Mus musculus: one gene and its partners. The protein of the gene in region 3 purifies or fractionates together with the protein of the main gene of each other region. This does not show direct contact. Links are inferred from orthologs where the notes say so. Each region holds a gene or a part of one and is shown on either strand. Other genes may lie near its edges.

Region 1 (3,650 bases), on a different chromosome or scaffold from region 3:
GTGCACCACATGCACACAGAGCCCCTGGAAGGCAGAACAGGGCATCAGATACCCTGGGACTGGAGTTAGACAACTGTGAGCCACCTTGTATGCTTTTATGGGTATGAGTGTCTGGGTACCATATGCTTGTGCTGCCAGCAGAGGTCAGAAAAGGGGCCCTGGGGACCATGACACTGTAGTTATAGATGACTGTGAGCAGCCATGTGCGTGCTGGGAACTGTACCTGTCCTCAGAGCATCAGAGCACCCAGTGTTAACTGCCAAGCCATCTAGAGTTTTATCTTTAAATTATGTGCATATGTGTGTATCTGTGGGTGGCAATGTACATGTGGTTACAGGTGCCCATGGAAGCCAGAAGAGGCCATCACATTTCCTAGAGTGGAAGTTACAGGTGGCTATAAGCCTCCACAGTGGAGTGCTGGTAACTGAATTTGGGATTTCTGTAAGAGCTGCAAGTGTTTTTAACTACTCCCAGTTATAGGTCCTTAACTGCTAAACTATCTTTCCACCCCCAAGGGCTAGCCTTTTATGTCAGACTATTCTCAACTCATGGACATCTGCCTGTCTCAGCCTCTGCCCCGAGCACTGGGATTGAAGGCGGTGTGCACAATCACTCCTTACGCTTCTCTGCATCTCATCTTTGTTAAATTAAAGGTTTGTCTTTAGCAAACTTGAAAAAGATCCTTTATGATAAAATGAATGGCAAGGCGGTGCCTTTAATCTCAGCACTCAGGGGCAGAGGCAGGCAGATCTCTGATTTAGATGCCAATCTGATATACAGAGCTAGTTCCAAGACATCCAAGGATACACAGAGAAACCCTGTCTCTGAAAAACCAAGCCCCCCAAAAACACCCAACAACAAAAACCCCAAAACTAAACAAAAACAAGAAAACCCCAAACAAACCCTAACACAAATGTGAAGTATGCCTGACCACCCTTCTCTCAACGCCTTCATTTTGGTTTAAAACAAACAGTTTGCCTTTCATTTATTCTGAGTTCACTGAGTCAAGACACTCTTAGCAAATTTTCTTCCCTTCCAAGATTAGAAACTCAAGACGTGAACTCTAGCTCCTTGGATGGCCGCAGCAGCAGCAGCAGAACTTAACTTTTTCATTCTTGTGGTGCTGAGCTTCAGGTCAGGCACTGGCCAGGTTTAAGTGTTCAGCTCCAAGTTACAGCCCAGTCCAACTCAAGTCTATTATTATTATTATTATTATTATTATTATTTGCACATTGGTGTTTTGCTTGTGTGCAAACGTCAGATTCAGATCCTAGAGTTACAGACAGCAGTGAGCTGCCATATGGATGCTGGGAATTGAACCCCACCCCTCCCCCTCCCAAAACTCCTAGCTAGATCTTGGAATTTTTGAATAAAATCTTCTTTCCTTCCTTTCTCTTCCTTTTTAAAATATTTTATTTCTTTGACTGAGTCTCACTATGTAGTCCCGACTGGCCTGGAACTCACTGTGTAGGTCAGGTTGGCCTCCAATTTTACCGAGCTCTGCTTGCCTCTAACCCCCAAGTGCTGGGATTAAGGTGTGTGCAGCCTTGGCCAGCCCATAATAAATAGTTCTTAAAAGATGGGTCGACCCCCACCCACTTCCAGCTGGTCTATTTTCATCTCAACCAATTATCTATGCACACAATCATAACTAAGGACACCACATGCTGGATAGTCTCACTGTGTGGACCCACACTGGAAGCTGAAGTCAGTCAGGTTCCAGCTCGGGTTTACAGAAACATAGGTTTTTAGCCTCTTCTATGCAGCTCCACCCTGCCATCTCTCTAGAACACTGTCTGCAGGGGAAAATTCCATGGAATACAAATGATTCCTTGGAGCAGTTGGCATCCACGTAAGGAAAGTATGAGTGAGGTTTTAGTACCGGCTTTTACACTCCCAGGCCTGAATAAATAAGACTTGCTTCCTCCTCTTACCCATGCCCAACCTTAGAAAGTTAACTAGGTCCAAACCTTTAGGTCCTGCCAGCTGCATCGACTTGACAAATTCTCCACAATAAGTCTGTATTCTGTGCGAGTAGGGGGACCGTATTTATCTCGGCCACTTCTTCGATAACCATATCCACCTTTAGGAGGTTCAAACAGACAACATCATAGAGTGTAAGAGGAGATGACACAGCACACTCTTAAACTATGTAACTCAATCCCCCCTTTCTAAACAATAGCATGTGTATTTTAACTAAAGCCTCACCTTTAATTCAAGTTTAAACACAAAATTTCAGTAAGTTTTTAGGCATACACATTCACTAGTTAATATTTATATTTTAAATTAGCATGTATAAAATAAGAAACATAATTTAGAAAAGGCAAATTATTAAATCAGTTACTACTATTACCCCTAGTCATTAAAGTTTTTGTGAATAATTTTTATGGAAAGAAAAAGATGCAGGCACCCATTTCAGTTCATCTCATCTGTGTCTGAATAAATAGACTTGCTTGCACCCAGGTCTATGGGGTATGATTGTAGTCACTGAATGGCTTCCTATTTTTTGGTCAGCCAAATGGAAAGGTGACCAAGGTCAGCAAGTAGAATAGGTGGTCATCTTAACCTCAAAGGATTCTTTTAATTAAAATTGAGGTCTTTGTTAAATATATGTCAAGTTGTATTACAGAAGAAAATGTTTTAAAGTATTAAAAGAAACTCATGACATCAAATATTTACAATCTGTATTTTAAAAGATATATTCGTATAGAAACAGCTTAAATATCTACCTTTAAATAAAATACTGAAATACATTAAAAATTAGCATTTAAAACCGAGGTATGTTATTGGTACATCTATCCTTCACATGCTTACTGCGTCCCGAGCCGTAGCTGCCATCCCGCCGCGGGCCTCGAGCGTGCTCAACAATGACTCGCTCGCCACACAGGTCTTTGCCGTTCAGTTCATAAACAGCATCGTCTGCATCACGCAGATCATCAAACTCCACAAAGCCATACCTGTGAGAGAGCAAACAAAACCTGGTTGGCATCGGGGCATCCAGCTTCACTAACGTGTCAGAAATCAACGAGGTTCATGCTTAGCACAGGCTGGGGGTTGCAAACTAAGGGCCAACTTTCTCTTTTCTGTAGCCAAAACCACCTTGTCTTTGTGCCAACAGGCAACTAACTGCAGGAGTCAGAAGGCTGTGTTAAGTCTATAGGAAGCAGCAGCAGCAAATACCTCCAAGGGCTACTTGGTTTAAGGAATCAGCAAGAACTCACCCGCTTGCACTCTTACAAGTGGTGTCTGTACTAGGTGCAGCTGGCCCCTGATGCACTGACTGCTGAGTCACAGTCAAAGGAAAGGAGGTAGGTCAGTGTCGGAAGTCTCTCTTGTCAAAAGTTTTTTCAAGGTTCCTGGTTTCCTACCTAAACAAACTAGTCACAACTGAACTAATTCTTCTAATTACTAACTCTTCTAATGACTAATTCTACTAACTAACTCTTCTAATTACTCGCTATTTACTTCCCTGTGTGATTCCAAGTTTGTTTCCATGATGTCTGGAAAGGCTGACATGATCTACATACAACTGTACCAGCTTATTTATATCATATTACCAGGTACTTTCGAGCAGAGATAGGGTGGTTTAATACATGTGGGGGAAGCCCTCCCCACCCCCTAAATCCTTTTAATACCTGCTACAGACTAGT
Region 2 (3,650 bases), on a different chromosome or scaffold from region 3:
TTGCTCTCTATCACAGGATATAGGAGGTGTTTTAAGAGATTAAGAACAGTGTTGGGCTGGAGAGATGGCTCAGCGGTTAAGAGCACTGACAGCTCTTCCAAAGGTTCAGAGTTCAAATCCCAGCAACCACATGGTGGCTCACAACCATCTGTAACAAGACCTGACTCCCTCTTCTGGAGTGTCTGAAGACAGCTACAGTGTTCTTACATATAATAAATAAAATCTTTAAAAGAGTGGTGGTGCATGCCTTTAATCCCAGCACTCCCAGGCAGAGGCAGATTTCTGAGTTTCAGGCCAGCCTGGTCTACAAAGTGAGTTCCAGGACAGCCAGAGCTACACAGAGAAAACCTGTCTCCAAAAACAAACAAACAAATGAACGAACAGTGTTGATGTGTCCCTGCCTCCCTAATGGAGGGATGAAAGCCATTACTACTCTGGATCCACCTCCACATTTTTGAGAAAGGATCTTTCAGTGAAATGGGTGGGAGCTCACTGATTTTGCAAGGTTAGGTGGCAGGCAGGTGCAGGGCTGTGTGTCAGCCTAAGAGAAGTTAAAGACATCTAAGATGGTCTGCTCTATATGAATGCTTGGGATACAAACCAAGGTCCTTACCCTTGAAGCATTAGCTTTACTAAGTGGACATCACCCAGACTCAAGTTTACACTCTAGTTATGTCAATGCTAGCAATTTCTCAAGAACAGGAAGAATAGGTAGCTAAGTGGTTGAGTTTGCTAGTTTATACTTGCAGAAGCTCTCAGGGAAGTTCAGTTCTCAACACCCAAATCAGATTATCTCACACCCACAACTACATCTTCAGAAGAATCAACACTCAGGAATAAACACTGGCCCCCACCCCTTACACACAAATGCCAGGAAAAAAAAGCACTACCTGGGAGGTGGAGTGTGCTGCATAAAAAACACCAAACAAACAAAAACAACATACATTTTCCAGACTTGGAAGAAGATCCCCTTTGTCCACTCTTCGAATTGAATCCACTTTTGCCCCTTCGTGAGGTGTTCCCTGAAACACGCTGACGTTTGGAAGGCACCACAGCTCGAGCAATAGGAGGAGGAGGAGGAACCCGCGCTGGGTAACTGTACATCCTGTGGGTTAAAGAAATAATTCTTCAAAGTGAATATTTAACTCCAGCCAGGCATGGTGGCCCACACCTTTAATCCTAGCACTCCCGAGGCAGAGGCAGGCGGATTTCTGAATTTGAAGCCAGCCTGGTCTACAGAGTGAGTTCCAGACAGCCAGGGCTATACAGAGAAACCCTGTCTCGAAAAACGAAAGAGAGGAGAGGGAGAAGGAGGGGAGAGGGGAGGGGAGGAGAGGAGAGAAGAGGGGAAGGGAGGGAAGGAGAGGAGAGAAGACGGGAAGGGGGGAGGGGAGAGGAGAGGAGAGAGGAGAAGAGGAGAGGAGGAGGGAAGGGGAGAGGGGAGAGGAAGGAGAAGAGATTAACTCAAGATACAACCAGAGCATAACAACAGGATTACTGGTTTTAGTCACCTCTTTTCCTTTTTATGTTATTCAAAACTCAATTTGATGAAAAATGCTGCAAGAGGAAAGAGCCCCCCCTCACACATACAGTAAATGATAGGCTTGACTAGACTTAAAAAATGGACTGTTTCCAGTTTATGGAAATTTTAAGAGAATGTAAGTTAGAATGAATTGCTTTTACCTTATACTTAAACAATTCACATAAAGTCAACTACAACAAAAAGGTGTTCTGATTTTATTCAAGTTCTAGATATTATTCTGAGGCCAGTCAGAATAATTTATGTGAATTTTTTTTCTCCATGGAACCCTGGAAAGTAAATATGACCCATCATACTTGGTGGCAGACACATTTTACCTGCTGAGCCATCTCGGAGGAACCAAGATAAGTTAATTTTAAAAAGTTTTGTTTTGAATTTATTTTTGTAAAATTGAAAAATTTTAGTGTTAACACATTACTTTCTCCAGCTCTACTATATTTAACCAATTTGTTCCCCTTTCAGTGTCATTGATTTCTGTGGTTCAAGGAAGAGTTTGCTAGCTACTTCTTTTGAGTTACAAGCTGAAAACACTAGGAAAGGTCCTATTACACTACGAATTAGCAGTAAGTTTTTACAGGACAGGAGTATCTGCGTATTACTTGCTAAGTGATAGTTTTAATCAATACTAAGTTATAGGTAATGAAGTAATCTAGAGAAAAGTTTACAGTGTTCAATGGAGCTGGAGCTCTGCGTACTACAGAAGGATGCACAGTTTTATAGGGACCATCTCTCATTTATGTGGCTTCAGCAGTCACAGGAACTTAACACTAACCATCTCACCAAGTACTGTTAAGAATGGTATACATAGTCTTTGAAAAACTATAAAAGTCAGATGTAGTGGTAAATCATGTAACCCCACACTCAAGAGACTGAGGCAAGGAGGATCTTGGGCAGACCTGGGCTACATGAGACTCCCCAAGCCAGGAGCAACAAAACACAAGAAAGACCAAGTCTAAACAAAACAAAAGCAAGGTCATTACCACTTTCAAAAAGTACAATGGTTTAGACTAAAACATCTATACTACAAAGAGAAGTCTCCCAATATATGCAAGAGCAATGGTGCCAATTATATGACTTATGGAATCCTTCATCTGAATTTATTTTTCTCATTTTTTAAGCAGGTTAAACATGAAAGGCTGGGGCTGGTGAGATGGCTCAGTGGGTAAGAGCACCCGACTGCTCTTCCAAAGGTCTGAAGTTCAAATCCCAGCAACCACATGGTGGCTCACAACCATCTGTAACAAGATCTGACGCCCTCTTCTGGGGTGTCTGAAGACAGCTACAGTGTACTTACATAAAATAAATAAATAAATCTTTAAAAAAAAAAAAAAAACAACAACAACATGAAAGGCTATGGAAGAAAATGTTAACAAACATCAATGATATATTTAATGGGAAGAAAAAATTTTAGTCTCCCTGAAAGACTTCCAAGCCAAAAATAATGTAGGCTAATGTAGACCACAAATTCACTATCATATCCTGGCTTTATACCTTAGCCCAAGCACTAAAAAAATTTAGCATTATTGGAGAGATGGCTCAGGGGTTAAGAGCACCAAATGTTCTTCCAGAGGTTCTGAGTTCAATTCCTGGCAACCACGTGGTGGTTCACAACCATCTGTACTGGGACCTGATGCCCCCTTCTGGCATTCAGGCATACATGCAGATAGAGCACTAATATACATTTTAAAAGATTTACTTGTATTTATGAGTGCACAGTAGCTGTTTTCAGACACACCAAAAGATGGTTGTGAGCCACCATGTGTTTGCTGGGAAATGAACTCAGGGCCTCTGGAAGAGCAGCAGTGCTCTTAACCACTGAGCCATCTCTCCAGCCCACAATAAATCTAAAGAAAAAAAAATAGCATTGCTTATTATGCATGTCTCACTGTCCTTTGAGATCTTTTCAATATTAGTGTTCTTTCGTCAGAGGTCCAATTTAGGGTTGGGGCAAAGTATCGGTTAGAATCTTCCTAGTACCTGAATTCAGGATGTTTTTATCTCAATCCCTAAGACTTCCAAGCTTGTCATTGTTTTTCAAAAAAAAGAGCGGGACAGTGCTAACCTTAAATCCCTGAGGCAAACTCAGTGGGTTCAAGGCCAGCTAGAGTTA
Region 3 (3,650 bases):
GCTCTCTATCATGAGGATAATGGACCTCTGAAACTGTAAGCCTGCCCCAATCCTTTATAAGAATTGCCTTGGTCATGGTGTCTTTTCACAGAAACAGATCACTAAGACTATCATCCCTGATTCAGAAACCAAACTAAGACCCCTTCAAATCTGTGTCTATTTTACTTCTGTGGGGCATGCACCAGGGCAACACACATAGAGTTAGAGACTAACTTGTGGGAGATGCCCTTCTCAGCTCCTGCCTTGTGTATTCCGGGGAAGGGCAGTCTGGTTGATGGGCTGGGCAGCGAGCACCCTCACTGACTCAGACATCCTGCCCACCCTCTAACTTTTATTCACTTTCTTTCATGTCTTTTTGTTTGTTTGTTTTGTTTTTCGGGACAGGGTTTCTCTGTATAGCCCTGGCTGTCCTGGAACTCACTCTGTAGATCAGGTTGGCCTTGAACTCAGAAATCTGCCTGCCTCTGCCTCCCGAGTGCTGGGATTAAAGGCGTGCGCCACCACGCCTGGCTCTCGTGTCTTTTTGAGACAGGCTCACACGCAGCCCACCATGACCTCAAATTTCCGACTATCCTGGTACAAATACATGTGCATGTACCACTGCACTTCCCCTCACTTGTGTGTCACTGTGCACATTGGAGGTTAAAGGACAAACCACGGGAGTTATCACATGCCACCATGTGGGTCCCGGGAATTAAACCCAGGCTGTTAAGCTTGGCAGCAAAGACCTTTACCTGCTGAGCCATCTTGTCAGCCCAAACTACTTTTCTAGTAACTACTGTAATGAGCAGGCTAGCCATTCTGAACTCACTTGGAGCGGGAGCGCCGCCTGTTGTCATGCCTGCGCCGAGAAGGGCTTGGGGAGCCGGAGGAGCTGCTAGAACTGGAGCTCCGGGACGTGCTGGAGCTTCCTGAGCGGCTGGATGCAGAGGACGAGCTGGAGCCACTGCTTGAGCCTGTGCTGGTGCTGGAGCCCGAGCTGGAGGTGGAGCTGGACCTAGACCTGAGGACAAGGTGGGGGTGTCACAGAGTCAATGAGCAAGAGTCCTATTTCTGCACAGAAGACTGACTGCTCAGTAGAGGATATCGCTCTCCTGGTTCTTACTCAGAAATCTGCCCGCCTCTGCCTCCTAAGCACTAAGACTAAAGGCATACGCCACCACTGCCCGGTGCTTTCCTGCTTAAGCCCCATTTCACCAGTAATGACATCTGACAAGTCCCAACACCGTATGAGATGGGCTGTTGTTACCTACACAGAATCCTTATTTTTACCAATGAGGAAAAAGCAGCAGCCTAGCAAAAATCAGATCAACAGGGCTGAAGACCAATTCAGGCAGGTTTTCAACTTAAAAATAAAAAGAAAGAGGGGCTGCAGAGATGGCTCAGAGTTTAAGAGCACTAACAGTTCTTCCAAGGTCCTAAGTTCAATTCCCAGCAACTACATGGTGGCCCACAAACATCCACAATGGGATCTGATGACCTCTTCTGGTGTGTCTGAAGACAGTGACCGTGCACATTAAAATAAATACATAAATAACATAAAAATAAATACATCTTAAATAAAAAAAGGAGCAGACTGGGAGCTGAAAAATGTCTCTGCAGGTAAGAGGAACCAGGTTTGGTTTCTAGCACCCACATGGCAGCTCACAACTGCCTGTGACTCTAGTTTCTGGGGACCCAATGCACCTTTCTGGCCTGTGTGACAACCAGGCACACACATGGTATGCATGTATAAACACAGTTTAAAAAAAAAAAAAAAGGCTCCAGCCTGAAGCCAGTCATTCTCATTTCAGGATGAATACATACTTGCAAGAGAAACAATTCATCCATTATCCAAACATCACACTTTAGTATCATAGGAGAGTTTATATCCACAAACACACATTACACAGCAAGACCACATAACATATATAATGAAACAAAACCTGCATGCTATATTAGGGTCTTATCAACAACTCTAGGGTCTGTTTTCAATGTAGTTAAGACAACGTAGTCTTCCCTTGGGCAACCAGCTCAATTCAATTGGCAAGCTGCAGGAAGCAATGAAATCCTGTATGGAAAAGCTAGGCAGACAGCTCTTAGGGAGCCACACATACAGGACTACCCTCGCAGAAAAGTTGCTGTCATTCTCACTTCAACTGGGCTTGCTCACTAACGATCATCACACTGGGCTTGTCTCTCTTGGAAGGGACAGGGTCAAGGGACCCTCACTGGAGTATCCAGCCACCCCTCCAAACCAGTTGTAATTCTGCCCTATTTGCACAGGTCCTCAGGTCTCAGGCAAAGGCTTTAAGTAGGGGACTGTGGGGAGGGAACATTCACAGGGCAGTTACCACCCACATTCCTGCCAATTATCCTTCACCCACTGCACTGGAAGCCTGGTAAACTCACTGATTTCCTAGAGTGAACTTTGCTGAACTGGACCTAGGTTTGTTTGTTTGTGGGAACATGGAAGAGCAGATGGCCTTCACACCTCCCCAAAGGAAGAAATTTAACATACTTTTGGCCTTCACAACACACACGTGTCACCCCTTTCCCCCAAAGAAGTTCTTGGAGGGCTTCACAGTGAAGGAAGACATGGTTCCCTCTGCCCCACCTGGTACTGCTGCTTCCGCTTGAAGCACTGCGTCTCTTCCGAGTCTTATCTCTGCCACGATCCTTCTCACTTGACTCTTTAGTGGCCCCTTTATCTTTAGATCGATCCTTGGACTTCTCATCAGATCGGTCCTTGCGTTTGGTAGGAGAAGGAGCCCTGCATGATAAGATAGAATGTGAGGTTGCAAGCCCTTCTGACCAAACCCTGAGATAGCACAACCCAGTAGTGCGGTCCAAAAGGATTACTAACATCCCAGGTGATCACAGAGCAAAATCATCTGTGAATTAGGGCACGCACTGTAGAACAACAACAACAAAAATCTCCCCTTTCCTAGGGTCCTTAAACAGCAAGCACCCCCAAAATAGCACTAGAAAAAAATCTTACAGAGGATTACCTAGTGCTGGACTTTTTATTATTCTCTTTGACTCCTAGCAAGCTCTTCTTTTTCACTCCTGATAAATCCATTCTCCCCTTCTTCAAGGCAGCAATGTCGGCCTCACTTATCTGAACTCTCACTTCTAACTTGAGTCTGAGAAACGATCCCTAATCGATTGCAATTTACGCCAAAGAGCAGCCTAGTAACAAGATAAAAGGATTGAAATAGAGCAAACCAATTGACAAAGCATCAACTCTATTTTGCATCAAAGACCGTTGAGCACACAGGACAGAAGCACAGCAAACAGCAAGTGTCCACACAGCCTTGACACCCAGGGCCCTCATTAGCGCGCCATGGAGGCCTTTCCTACTCTTAGAGGCCACCTTAGGTTTTTTATTTGAGAAAGAAAGGCAAAATGTATTACATGTCTAAGGTACAGGCATATTAAGATTCTTCTTTGTTTTCCTTAATGAAGTGGGAGAGGTAATTGTAGCTACATTTGGTTTTTTAGGGCCTGTCCCACACTAGAGTTCACCAAGTTTGATGATGAACCAGCCACCTGTAGATGGCTTTCAAAATATTAGACACCACAATGGCCTCAGAGGAGAAAAACCCAGATTTGTCTTATTGGCATTGTTTTCTTTAAGGATACAATGAGTAACGAGTAGCTGGCACTTT

What was found.
Region 1: the proteins of Rnps1 (region 3) and Srsf4 purify together in Homo sapiens (co-immunoprecipitation; 3 studies listed by BioGRID and IntAct, with this or other methods). This does not show direct contact. The link is inferred for Mus musculus from reciprocal best matches to the Homo sapiens genes RNPS1 and SRSF4.
Region 2: the proteins of Rnps1 (region 3) and Hnrnpc purify together in Homo sapiens (co-immunoprecipitation; 3 studies listed by BioGRID and IntAct, with this or other methods). This does not show direct contact. The link is inferred for Mus musculus from reciprocal best matches to the Homo sapiens genes RNPS1 and HNRNPC.

What each region holds. Positions count from the first base shown.
Region 1 is NC_000070.6:131,890,514-131,894,163, reverse strand, and holds part of Srsf4 (serine/arginine-rich splicing factor 4), read right to left. Parts: intron 2,958-3,650; coding exon 2,815-2,957; exon of another isoform or gene 2,755-2,814; coding exon of another isoform or gene 2,730-2,754; intron 2,084-2,729; coding exon 1,971-2,083; intron 1-1,970. UniProt on the Homo sapiens protein: Plays a role in alternative splice site selection during pre-mRNA splicing. Represses the splicing of MAPT/Tau exon 10.
Region 2 is NC_000080.6:52,076,459-52,080,108, forward strand, and holds part of Hnrnpc (heterogeneous nuclear ribonucleoproteins C1/C2), read right to left. Parts: intron 1,106-3,650; coding exon 945-1,105; intron 1-944. UniProt on the Homo sapiens protein: Binds pre-mRNA and nucleates the assembly of 40S hnRNP particles. Interacts with poly-U tracts in the 3'-UTR or 5'-UTR of mRNA and modulates the stability and the level of translation of bound mRNA molecules. Single HNRNPC tetramers bind 230-240 nucleotides.
Region 3 is NC_000083.6:24,417,559-24,421,208, reverse strand, and holds part of Rnps1 (RNA-binding protein with serine-rich domain 1), read right to left. Parts: intron 3,172-3,650; 5' UTR 3,062-3,171; coding exon 2,991-3,061; intron 2,753-2,990; coding exon 2,597-2,752; intron 1,004-2,596; coding exon 812-1,003; intron 1-811. UniProt on the Homo sapiens protein: Part of pre- and post-splicing multiprotein mRNP complexes. Auxiliary component of the splicing-dependent multiprotein exon junction complex (EJC) deposited at splice junction on mRNAs.